Saccharomyces cerevisiae S288C: one gene and its partner. The gene in region 2 interacts genetically with the main gene of each other region. Each region holds a gene or a part of one and is shown on either strand. Other genes may lie near its edges.

Region 1 (5,080 bases), on a different chromosome or scaffold from region 2:
ATATTTTTAGGAATAGCAATCGTTACATTGCTTGAAAATTTTTTCAAAGGGTTGGAAACATAGGGTCTAGAATATTCATCATTATCAGGATCTGGCTGGCACATGATGCGGAAGCAGCGTTCAGCATCACTTAGGTTTAATGCAAAGATGGAGACGCAGTCTAAAGATTTACAAGCGGGAACTACACCTTGACAGGAAAAGACGCCCTTTGTTGGCTTTAGGCCAATCAGGTTGTTCAAGGCGGCTGGGACTCTACCAGAACCTGCTGTATCAGTACCCAATGCAATTGGTACGATACCTCTGGCGACCACCGATGCTGACCCAGCGGAGGAACCACCAGATACATGCTCTTTGCTAAAAGCGCAAGGTGTTTTCCCATATGGAGACCGTGTGCCGACTAATCCTGTGGCAAATTGGTCCAAGTTTGTCTTACCCACGATTATCGCACCTGCATTTCTTAGTAGTTCTACTACTTTAGAGTCTTTGGAAGGCTCATATGCAAAGGATGGACATGCAGCGGTGGTGGGTAGACCTCTAACGTCGATGTTGTCCTTAACAGCAATAGGGACACCGTAGAGAGGTAGAGTTTCTTTATTTTCTCTGCTCTTTAAAATTTGGAATTGGTGCAGTAAATTTTCCTTTGAAATTAGCGATATCCACGCATTATCGACTGGCGCAACATTTTGAGAGTCTAGTAGTGATTCAAGAAGCCTTAGTGAAGCCTGGGAGCTTGATGACTTGTGGAAATCAATCCAGTCTTGGATTGACCAACCTAACGATATTTCAGCAGTTGTATCGGAACTAACTGTCATTTTTTAATCAAAACTGAAATTTATTGTGACTATAAAAAAGATATTTCTATTTTTTATCTTTTATATTAATGTAAATTGAAATTTGGTGTATATCAGCTGCTCCACTGATATATTAATATAAGCTTATAAAAACTTGAGCCTATATGATCCTAGAAAAAAAAAGCTTAGCTAAGAGAGCCTGATATTCAGAAGTGAGCGAGTATACAAATCTCACACCTCATCTGCTCTAGTGTTTAAATACAAACATTCAATTTCCAACAACGTCTAACAAAGCTCGATTCAAATTAAGAAGCAGGAAAAAGCAAAACATCTGCGTGTCTTATCTCAATGGCTTGCGCTAACTGCGAACAGAGTGCCCTATGAAATAGGGGAATGAACGCATATTGGTTTCATTATAGAGCGTCAATCAAGAAAGAGGCACCAAACTATAAACGCACATTTCTCGGTAGGGCTAGGAACGCTTTCCTGCTTATCTTATCTGAAGCTTATTTATTGTTCGTTTTTTTATCTTATCTGATAAGGGGAAAAAGCCTGGAAAAGCGCGTAAATGATGAGGCGAAATGCAGCCAAAGATGCGTGCCGTTGCAGTTAGCTAACAACCTGGCGTTCGGCGATCGCCATAAGAGATCTGCCAATTTTAAAAAGGGTATTGCCAATACACATAGTAGCCTTATCTGCAGCAAGCCATAGGACTAATGTGTTCGACGTCGTTGGGGAAAAAAAGCAAAGAACATGTTGCCTTTGAGGAGACTGCAGCAAGAAAAAAAGTTCAATAAGGATTGCAAAAAAAAAAAGAAGCTCGCACTCAGGATCGAACTAAGGACCAACAGATTTGCAATCTGCTGCGCTACCACTGCGCCATACGAGCTTTCTATTACATGTGGGAAGACTAATATAGATAGTATAGTCAATTATACGAAGTAGTGCCAGCCCCACATATAAGAGAACGGTGGAATATTTGAACTGTATGCAAAGAAGTTTCAGCGGGGACCTTTATTTTAGAAAAAGCGAATAAATGTCGCTCATTTGTTTAAACGGTATTTGTTGGACTGAGGGTTGCTTCCATACGGAAATGCTAACGAAGAGGATGTGCTGAATTTTGCTATGTTTGGAATGGGCTCCTCCATCTGGGAATGATAATCATTTTTATTATTGTGTGTTCAAATACACTTACACATCTGTTTTTTCGTGGTAAGGAATCCGAGAATCACATGAGGTTTGGGATAGTTGCTGGCAATCAATGAATGACATCAGATAAAACGAAAGGAGAAATAATATGTTGATAATTAGAGGTTAAAAATTAGTATTAATGAAGAAATAATTACTGATCTTCTTATACTAAATAAGAGAGGTATATAAAACACACGCCGATTGGTCATATTAATCATGACCAATATAATAGTGATTCCGGTAGTTACTATACATTGATGTGACGACTCATATTCCTCATATATGTACCTACCATAACATGTTCAACTAATAGGTCTTTAACACAGCTTCAGTATTGTCTGAGCTTCTCGTTTAACATTCCTTCTGCAATAGGCGCAATCACACTTAAACGTATACGAGTTGTACATTAATATACGATGTAAGCATTGAATTGTTACCATAGCAACTCATGTCACTATTAATTACTCTCGTTCCAACATAATATTATTATGGAGTAATATCTATTCCCTTTCGTGGATTCCAAGATTCTCGAGGTATATTTCCAGTATATTTTGTATACCTGATATTATAGCCTTTAGCAACAACGAAATCAACATTTATCTCAAATTTCACCTGTTTCTCATTTTTAAGCGCCTAGCCCATCTAATCATCTTAACTATTCATCAGGGAAAATTAATATACATTGTGCTCTTAATGTTTCGAAAAATAATCAAAATCAATAGAAATAGCGTTTTGCTACTAACAAAGCCCTTTGATCCAAAGTTGGCTTCTGAGAACTTAACATTTCAGTAGAACAAGCCTCAAGCTTAAATGAAGAATGGCAAAGTAAATGAGACCTCTCTCTCCATATTTTGCTCAGAGCCTGTTAAGGAAAACAACACCGCACATTAGTGTGAAAAACTTTCCCCGCAAGCTGTTGGAAGATGAATCATTTATTATCTTTTGACTGTTAGCTACATTACTAGCTGTTATCAATCTCTCAGACGATTATATGAATATTGAGATAGTTGTTGGGATTAACTTATTGTTAGAGGCTATAGCATCAGATATACAAAATAAAATAAAAAGTTCTCCTCCAAGATATAGTGTAATCGATATTTCGATGTAATGCCATCATTATTTCTTCTATTTTATGTATTCCTATTGTCCTCTAACATTGTATCTGATAATATTCTAGTAATAGGATTACCATCACTAAATGATAGTTAATTCTCATTCCAAAACCGACTCCTGTCAATATTGAGGACCCATTTATTCCAACGGTCCAAATCCCCAATATTCCCTGCTCGGCAAGAAGTTAGAAAACATATCTTTCGTGCTCTTGCAGGCTTGCTGTATTATCATAACCGAAGGATGACCAACTTTGATCACCCCAGGTGGCAAAAACATAATACATGGTGGTGGTGTCGTTGTAAAAATCATCTTCTTTGGGTGTGTATAGGATCCCATCCAACACACGTGTTAAAATGACATCAGGTATCAATGCTAATCCGTCGTCACTGACAATAAGCTGAGTTGACATCACCTGATGATGTGAAATAGTAGCAAGAGAACTAGGGTAAGGTTCATGCTGGTTGTTTTCCTATGATGACCAACCTTTGGAATTGGGTAATTCTAGGTGTAGCCTGCTAGCCATCAAACGAGACCTTTCAAAATCTTCAGTCATTACATTTTCTTCTGTAAATAGGGAAAAAAGCCTTTAGCTAGGATTGTTCGGCAATAGAAAGCCCTCCAGTTTAAACTTGACATAGAAAATCTTTAAGGTTAAATCAAACATAAGTTATTATCCGATATAGTGTAACGGCTATCACATCACGCTTTCACCGTGGAGACCGGGGTTCGACTCCCCGTATCGGAGTTATTTTTTGTTTCTATACCATTATTTTTCTTGAATGTTGCATTATGATAGTATAGTTTTGCTATACAAACTTCAATTCTCAAAACACAGTACGTCTAGCTCACTACTACTCTCTCTAATTCAAAATCGTTCACTTCTATCGAAAGCTGTGATAATTTGGAAATATTGTCGTGGGCCACGAATGATTTTTCAATTACATTGCTAAATACGAAGACATTAATACCTTTATTCATATAAGCACTTTCATTATCATTTTTTACTAAAGATAAAACTAACTGCAGGCACCAAGAAGTTCGAAGCCAAGAGTAAAGATGTCAGGAACCGGATTATCGCTATTCGTGACGGGTCTTATACTGAATTGTTTGAATTCCATTTGCCAGATATACTTTACTATATTATATGGTGATCTTGAAGCAGACTATATCAACTCAATCGAACTGTGTAAGAGGGTGAATAGGTTGAGTGTACCAGAGGCAATTCTACAAGCTTTCATTTCTGCATTGTTTCTTTTTAACGGGTACTGGTTCGTATTTCTCTTGAATGTCCCTGTTCTAGCATATAACGCAAGTAAAGTCTACAAGAAAACACATCTACTGGACGCCACGGATATTTTCAGAAAATTGGGTAGATGCAAAATTGAATGCTTTTTAAAATTGGGATTTTACCTTCTCATATTCTTTTTCTACTTCTACAGAATGGTCACAGCGTTACTTGAAAATGATGCAAATTTGATAAGCTAATAGCGACAACAGGAAAAAAAAAGAGAGATTTGTGCATATCTATGAAGTATGTCTACCACATAAAAATGACCTTATAACACAACTTCCTTAGTATGGAAGTAATACATATATACATATATACATATATACATACATATATATATATATATATATATATATACATCTTTTGAACCAATTCCCTATAGACTTGGTTGTAATTCGTTAGAAAGATTTTCATTAATTTTATTTATCTTTTTCAGAAGTCCGTTATATGGATCCATCAAGTCTACGAAATGTGCAATATCCAGAATATTTGAGTCATCCCGTATTGAATCGTCCTCGCTATCTTGGCTCATAATTTTGCGATCTCCCTCGTATTTGCCTAGCAAAGTAGAAGTCAAATCATTTAGCCTCTTATTTAGCTTCACTTTGTCGTTCAGTTTGGCTTGTTCATTTTGTAAGTCATGCCAGTCTTTACCGGCTTTCAACTCTTGAATTTCATTTCGTACCGATATTATCTG
Region 2 (7,769 bases):
CTCTATAGCTTAATAAACTAAAAATTCGTACTATGCATAAGTAATCAAAACATGCATCTACACAAAAAAAATTGAAAAATCTATAAAAACACCTTCCTAAAAAATGAATATCGCCAATATCTATAACAAAAAGTCTCACCGGTATACAAGGATTGTTCAGAACAGCTAGCCAAACTTTAACAACCTCCAGCATTGACAATTAAAAATGTGAAAATAAAACAGCTAAACGAAATTACCGCCAAAATTGGTCTCACAGTTTACCAAATTTTTCCGTCATAGCACTCATTTGAGTCCAATATTTTAACTTAACGGGAGTTAAAGATCCTGTGTTGAGGTCTACCATCAGGTCTTCATCTTCTATTTCTTCCTGAGTTTGACTTAAAGCTTTTTGAAAACTTCCTTGCTTTTGTGTTTGAGAAAAGAGCCCATTTGACCTCTTTGAAGTACTTGATTCGTAAAGGTAACTGACGGAATGGTTTGCCTGCATTGTAGTTGATGATATATAATGTCGTTGATTTATGAGTTACTAGATGGCTACCATTAAGTCTCACTTGAAAATTCGCGGGAGCTGAGAGATGCAAGCATGTAACATTAGGTTCTGTAGTTATATATGATTGTTTCTTCCATTGCCTACATCAGAATCGAACTGTTCTAGGGCCTCACAGTCGAAACAAAAGTTTAGCGTTGTTTCGAGAAATGGCCGCACGAATGGCGATAGATGTCGAAATGCCACACTTTTAATTTTCTCGTTGCGTTTTTTTTTCTTTTTTGCCCTTAGCAGAGGGCAAAAAAGTGACAGAGGAGCCACAACTGCGGCCCGCGTGAACAAAAAACCCCATGATCTTTCTCAATTTTTTATTCGCATGCGACTCCTACATACACGGGACCTGCAAGGTGGTGCGGTGCAGCCACACGGAAGACTATTGTATACATATGTGATTGAAAATGCTTCTTTCCTTGAAAAGAAATAAAGGGATGCTACCTCTTCCTGTGGCACACCTTTCCTTGGACTTTGTATTGAGTAAGGATCCAGACACCTTTAGTGGCGAGCTTGATAATCCAGGTAACACAATATCGCCAATGATTTTTATCAAGTAAGACTATCGCATCCAGAAGATTATTAGTTTAATGTTGTTCGATAAGGCCTATTTTTAGGCTCTTTTTTCAACATTTCCAATCGTCATGTGAAAACTGTACAAGCCACTTAATTTCTCAAAGACCTCGCCACAGAGAAAAGCTCATATCTGTGGCATCACTTACTGCTTCTATGCATTGATAAATCTAGCTAGAATTTTCACCGATATCATGCAAGTAAATGATAGAAAATCATCACAGTTACGCATCAAACACATTTTGAACGTTCCTTTCTTCTTTACGGCAAAGTAAGCATGCCTTTAGCGAGACTGGGGTGAGCTGAAGAAGAACTTGCTGCACTATAGATATGACTTTAGATGTCCGTTATTCAACAATTAAGTGGTTTCGTGGTCTAGTCGGTTATGGCATCTGCTTAACACGCAGAACGTCCCCAGTTCGATCCTGGGCGAAATCAATTTTTTTTTCCGTCAGATATCTCCGTCATTTTCGTTGACGTTTTTTTCTTACCAAGCAAAGATATTTTTAATAAATGCTGAATATCCTTTGTTTGAGGGTAAACATGCCATAAATTTGCAATAAGGGTTACAAATAAAGATTGAGAGCTGTCAATTTGGCGAACAGGGAATGTTTTCTTCACCAATGATCTCCTGAAGCCCCTCAATCTTTCTTGATGTTTATCTCTATTCGTGCCCGTCCGACAATATATTTGACAAGAGAGCTACATGGGAATATTGGTTATGTGCGTAAATACTTGTTCGTTCTCAAAACTCTTATTTAAAGACACATGATTTATTAATTAATTTAGCAAGTTTTTCTAGGAATTCTTTGTCTACGTGGTCGAATCCTTCGTAATCCAAACAATCTATGTCTATGACGCCCAATGTCTTACCATCATTGGATATGATTGGAACAACAATTTCGCTCTTGGTTTCACCGTCGCACGCAATATGACCGGGATACTTGTTGACATCTGGAACAATCTGCGTTTCCTTTGTAGAGGCTGCAGTTCCGCAAACACCTTTACCGAATTGAATCATTTGGCAAGCGACCTTTCCTTGAAATGGGCCCAATATCAGTGTGTTTTCTTCGCTAGCTTGAGTAACGTAAAATCCAGCCCAATTGATATCAACAGCTAATGACTTGTACGCATGCCAGATCAATGACGAAGCGTTTGACAAATTACAAACCCAATTGACTTGTCCATCTGATAGCCCCTCGTATGAAAGCAGAAGCTGTTCTAGAATTTCTTCCTTATTCAGATTTGAAGAATAGTTAACATGATCGGCATGATGAAACCCGGTTGATGAGCCCATATCTGTTTGTTTTTTTTTGTTTTTTTTTCTAATTTACGGATTTGTTTTATCAGCAAACGCCTTTGTTTGCTTACATTTGGGAAAATCGTCATCATATAAACATGAAGAAACCGATGATATTAGCGTTCGTTAAAAAGGATAATACTTCGTTGTAAACTCAACTGTAAATATCTTTCTTCATTTCCTCCAAACATGGTTTTCTAACTGCAGGGAATAGGTAAACCTTTGCGTTTGTGTTCTTTCTGCATCACGGTGGGCCTTGCCCTCTGTTAAGTCAATATTAAAAGATAAGATAAGAAAAGAATGAAAACGAATAAATAATTATTGATATTTAATGCGCAGAGAAAATACAAAACTTATAAGCTACCTGGATAGTTATCTTTTACAAGGCGAGCCATTTCTTGGCCTCTTTCTCCACCAAATTCTTTGAATTTTCAACATATGCCTTCAACATTAATCTGTGATTTATTTTGGTCGAATTTGAACTTTGATTGAATATGGGTAATACTGATTTCAAGCCCGACAATGTTTTGAAGCATAGCATTGATATAATAATCTGGGGCATCAGAAACGCTCCACTTTACTTCGTACATTTTCCCCCTCAGGTCTTTTCTCTTCTTCTTGGTCAGTCAAAGTTGATAACATATTAATAAGCCAGTCTTTATCGTCGCGGATAATCCTTGGTGTACCGTAAACGTGCACAGCGGCAAAATCCCATGTTGGTACGAACTTATGGGTCTTTTTCTTCATTGGGAACCACGCCGGAGAAATGTATGAATCGACGCTCTGAAATACCACTAAGCATTTTTGAACTCTTTCCAGCATTTCCACATGTTTATTCTTCCGTGCTAAATGTGCAATAAGTTTATGCTCTCCATTATCGAACTCCACGAATACAAATGGAATATGTGATGCGCACATACCAAAATCGGGGTCATCTTTATTGGAAGAAGTTCTCCATCCGAAGAAACCTTGCCTGCTAGCCTTAGAGGAGAATAGTGTTCCTAGCGGGGGTTTTTTTGATAATTTGTACCTTGAGAGTTCCATGGACTCAAAATGTTTAGGAATGTACATTATGAAATAGATTCTTGGATTCTTCTCAGACTGGCAATTTATGTCTATAATATTAAGGGATGGTTTTCGGCGAATATGCAGAATCTTCGGTTCTAGGACCAGTTATATACCATCCTAATTAAAATCAGAGGACATAATAGAGATAGTTTCAAATCTGGTTAAGCGTTAAAAGATCAGCATACAAAGTGATGCCACAAAATACCTTCTTAAAGGGGCGTGAGGCAAAAGCAAAGTCACATCATATAGCACCTACCAATAAAAAAGTGTATTACACAAAGGTATATTCCGTATCTGAGTTGTATATAAGTAGCCAAATTTGCACTTATCTAAAAGACGCCTTCGCTGCCGTCATAGTTGAAGAACTTTCCATTATCTTCTGGTAAAATTTTTCGGAAGACATCAATTAGCGCAGAGGCACTTTCTTCTGGTGTGATAATATTTACGCCGCTGATGTCTATATTCTTCTCTTTAAAATGATCAAGGCCATATTGGCCCATATCAGTAGATACCATACCTGGGTGAAAAGCAACGACAGTAAAACCCTCCGGTTTCAATTCAAAACTGAGCGTCTTTACCGCATAATTCAAGGCAGCTTTCGATTGACCATAAGCGGAAACAGAAAGTGGTACAAACGCATTGATAGATCCTGCAACACTAGAGATAAAGAATATCTTCCTCGTCTTTTTCAAAAGAAGCAGTGGATAAACTTTTTGAAGGGCTAGTATCGGACCCAGAGCGTTTGTGCTATAATGGTTGAGCCAGACTGATTTGGGAGTTTCCAGGACCTTGTAATAAGAATCAGATACTGCAGAACATGCGATAAAAATATCAATACCCAAGAAGAATGGCGTTTTCTTGATCTCGTCCGCAATATTGCCAATACTTTCGTCCTTTGTAAGGTCAAGTTGGACAATATGGATATTCTTCCTGATTTTTGCTAAATCTTCCACTTGTTTGTTCTTGGGTAATGAAGGTGATCCACGAATAGAGGTTATAACTGTATTGCCCGTAGAAGCGCTTAAAATTTTGACCAAATTAAAACCAATTCCACGGCTACCACCGATGATAAAGTAAGTTATTCTTGATGAAGTATTCATATCGACTTTGTTTGCTTAGAATTCTACTGATTTATGCCACTGGTAAAGGCTTTATTCTTAAAAACGTCAAAAATTAGTTTTGAAGCATCGCCGCCTATTTATTATAACTGGTATACTATCTTACTTATTAGTACTACCATTTATACCGCTATGCATTACTAATCACATTACTAATCTCATTACTAATCTCATTACTAATCTCATTGCTAATCTCATTACTAATCTCATTACAAATAACTTTCTATTGAGGTATTTCTAGGGAATTGCGAAGTTGGTTTGCTTTTTATGAGACCCGCGGACGTTAATCGAAGATATAATCCACGGAAAAATTATATGTCCTGCAATTTGTGCACAGTATATTAATCGGGAACATATATGATTAGATTATTGCAAGTCATGCAAGCTAAAGTAAAACAAGCAATATCAGGAGCTCATAGATATATCATGCACACATCAGGTAGAAGATAGGAAATTATAGAAGATCTGAAGAAATTAGAAGAACTAAGCTCGACTAGCCTAATAGGAAAATGGTGTCCCTTATTTAACCTGAGAAACCAATATTTCGTAGTATCTTCTTTTTTTCTTCCATGGTAATGAGTCCAACAAACTTTGAGCTTCTAAAAAATATAAACTCCAAATGAACCTGATCAGGACAAATGTTCTCTAGGGTAGTTAGATACAAAACCTTTCGGATGAGGGATTTCTTATCCTAGCTATTTAATGAAGCAAAATAAAGCTGTTTCAAAAAGCTTAAGTGTTTGTACTTTTTTTTACCAGGTTAAAGAAACAGGAATAATTATTCGTAGAATTGCAAAATTTTTTATTGACGTACTTGTTTCTATTTTTTGAATAGTCAGTTCTTCGGAAGGCATTCAATAAGAGCCCAATATAAGGGTAAGGTGCACTTTTATACAAGCTGGCCAAAAAAACCGGGAAATGGCAAAAGTTCGAACTATTGTTTCATAGGTACTATTAAATCCTTTCATTTGGTAAAGAAAGGTGCTTGAATGACTTTGCAGACTATTTCTGTTTCCTACCGAATAAATTAGGTGCGCTTTAACGCGCAGTGATGTGTAGATCAATTGAAATGGGGAACTTGCTTATTGAATACAGGATTAAAGAGGAAATGGTACGGTACATTTTTGGATTTTGCCATAACTCACGATAAACTGTGGATGGCTGCATCAAAAGATGGAGAGTTGCTAGATGACCGTCACGTCTGCGTAGTCTCTTCACAACATGTTTTATTGACTTGGTTGATGCTATTGTAGTGATTAAAGAGAACGAGAGATAACGCAAATCAAAATTTTATGTTGTGACATTTGGAAATTGAAGGAATACTTATCTTCGAAAAGCCGGAGCAATGCTTTTACCTCGCTAGAAATAGCATGTCATGTAACATGGTAATGTTAGCTTTATAAATAACCGCGCTATTTAGTAGGCTACTACAATTAACTCCCAGACTTCAAATTAGTCAGAAATGTAATACAATGTTGTGTAACGTTAGTCATATGTTATAATTTGTATTCTCGCAGTAGAGGTAATTCACGATCTTAGGATTTGCGCATGTTTATGATCATAATGTCAAAATAAACTACGTAATGCGTAATTTTAAATAGTTCTTTTGCCCAAAGTAAATGCGCATTATTATAGCATTCGTTGATGTTTCCAGTATTATTGCGATAATACTGGGGCCTGTCCATGAAGTTTTAATAGCAAGTGGCTTAGCAAATATTCTAAAAATTGAGATGGTCACATAACGTGAAAACTCTAAATTCGCGGCAGGAAGTCGGTTCTTTATCCTATGTGATTCGATGTGGAGGCAATTACCTATCTATAATATATGAAAGTTGCTGTATACTTATATAAGCCATTTATAATATGCAAAAGGCGGTAACGATATGCCGCGCAAATCAAAATCCAGATTGAAACAAGAAATAATGATTAAGATATACTATCAGTAACACGACAAAGGTAAGGAAATTCCAGTAACTGAGGCTATTTCATCAACCTAAGTACATCATTTTCAAGAAAAGAAGAAATACTTTATTTAGAGTGTGGAGCGCTAAATGTATGGCAAAAAAAGAAAATGAAACGGACAGGAATTGAACCTGCAACCCTTCGATTGCAATCTTATTCCGTGGAATTTCCAAGATTTAATTGGAGTCGAAAGCTCTACCATTGAGCCACCGCTTCATCTTGGAATATTCACGTTTTAAAATAGGATAGATCACCTCAAACAATGACGACTATATCTGAAAAGAGCAGAGATAACAGTGTTCTATGAAGATAAAATACAAGATTAGATACATAGAAAAAGAAGAGCATGATGAAGTTTAGATCTGCCAACAAATACCTCAAAATTCACCAATCTCTTAATTTAATATTGGATAAATGAGTTCAGTATGTAGCATATATGTTGCATCTCAGAGTAAGATAACATATCATTACCAATATATCAACCTAAACATTTAAATAAGTATGAAACTGTTGGAATAAAAATCCACTATTGTCTATCAACTAATAGTCATACTATCAATATATTATCATATACGGTGTTAAGATGATGACATAAGTTATGAGAAGCTGTCATCGAAGTCAGGGGAAGCTGAAATGCAAGGATAGATAATGTAATAATGAAACCTATAAAACGGAACGAGGAATAATATGTAATATTTTTATGTAGAAATATAGATTTTGAGTATTCCTAGATCCTCGAGGAGGCACTTCTAGTATATTCTGTATACCTAATGTTATAGCCTTCATCAACAATGGAATCCACTAGAAGTTTTCCTCGAGAATATAGGACACCAATATTTTACATAATGCTATTACCTTCTCTTTTCACCTTATATGTACTGATCGATAAATGATAGTTGATTTTCATTTTCTCAATAATTCGTAGTATTTCTCGAAACTCAGAACAGAAGAACGAGAGCATAATGAGCTGGAGCTTCCTTAAAAATTTCAGTGGGCTTATTCCGTAAAAAGGAAGGAAGTCTATGTGACATCTATAATGTGAAAGAAGAAAATAGCTAACTGTCCCCAAAGATCAACCATAAATATACAGTTCTCCCAGGAAATTAAATATGCATCCCTCAAATGGCAGAATTCTTAAAATTACGAATTTTTATAATATCTATAAGTATATGGCTCTCCAGGAAATTAGTGTATCTTATGCATTGTCTGA

What was found. A genetic interaction does not mean that the proteins touch.
Region 1: mutations in YKL070W (region 2) and ERV15 together harm fitness more than expected from each alone (negative genetic interaction), as found in Saccharomyces cerevisiae (2 studies listed by BioGRID).

What each region holds. Positions count from the first base shown.
Region 1 is NC_001134.8:641,399-646,478, forward strand, and holds ERV15 (Erv15p), read left to right. Parts: upstream 1-4,151; coding exon 4,152-4,580; downstream 4,581-5,080. Other genes in the region: DUR12 (bifunctional urea carboxylase/allophanate hydrolase), read right to left, coding at 1-812; YBR209W (uncharacterized protein), read left to right, coding at 1,185-1,502; AME1 (Ame1p), read right to left, coding at 4,760-5,080.
Region 2 is NC_001143.9:301,924-309,692, reverse strand, and holds YKL070W (uncharacterized protein), read right to left. Parts: upstream 3,483-7,769; coding exon 2,973-3,482; downstream 1-2,972. Other genes in the region: YKL068W-A (uncharacterized protein), read right to left, coding at 251-487; YKL069W (L-methionine (R)-S-oxide reductase), read right to left, coding at 1,866-2,408; OSI1 (Osi1p), read right to left, coding at 3,809-4,579.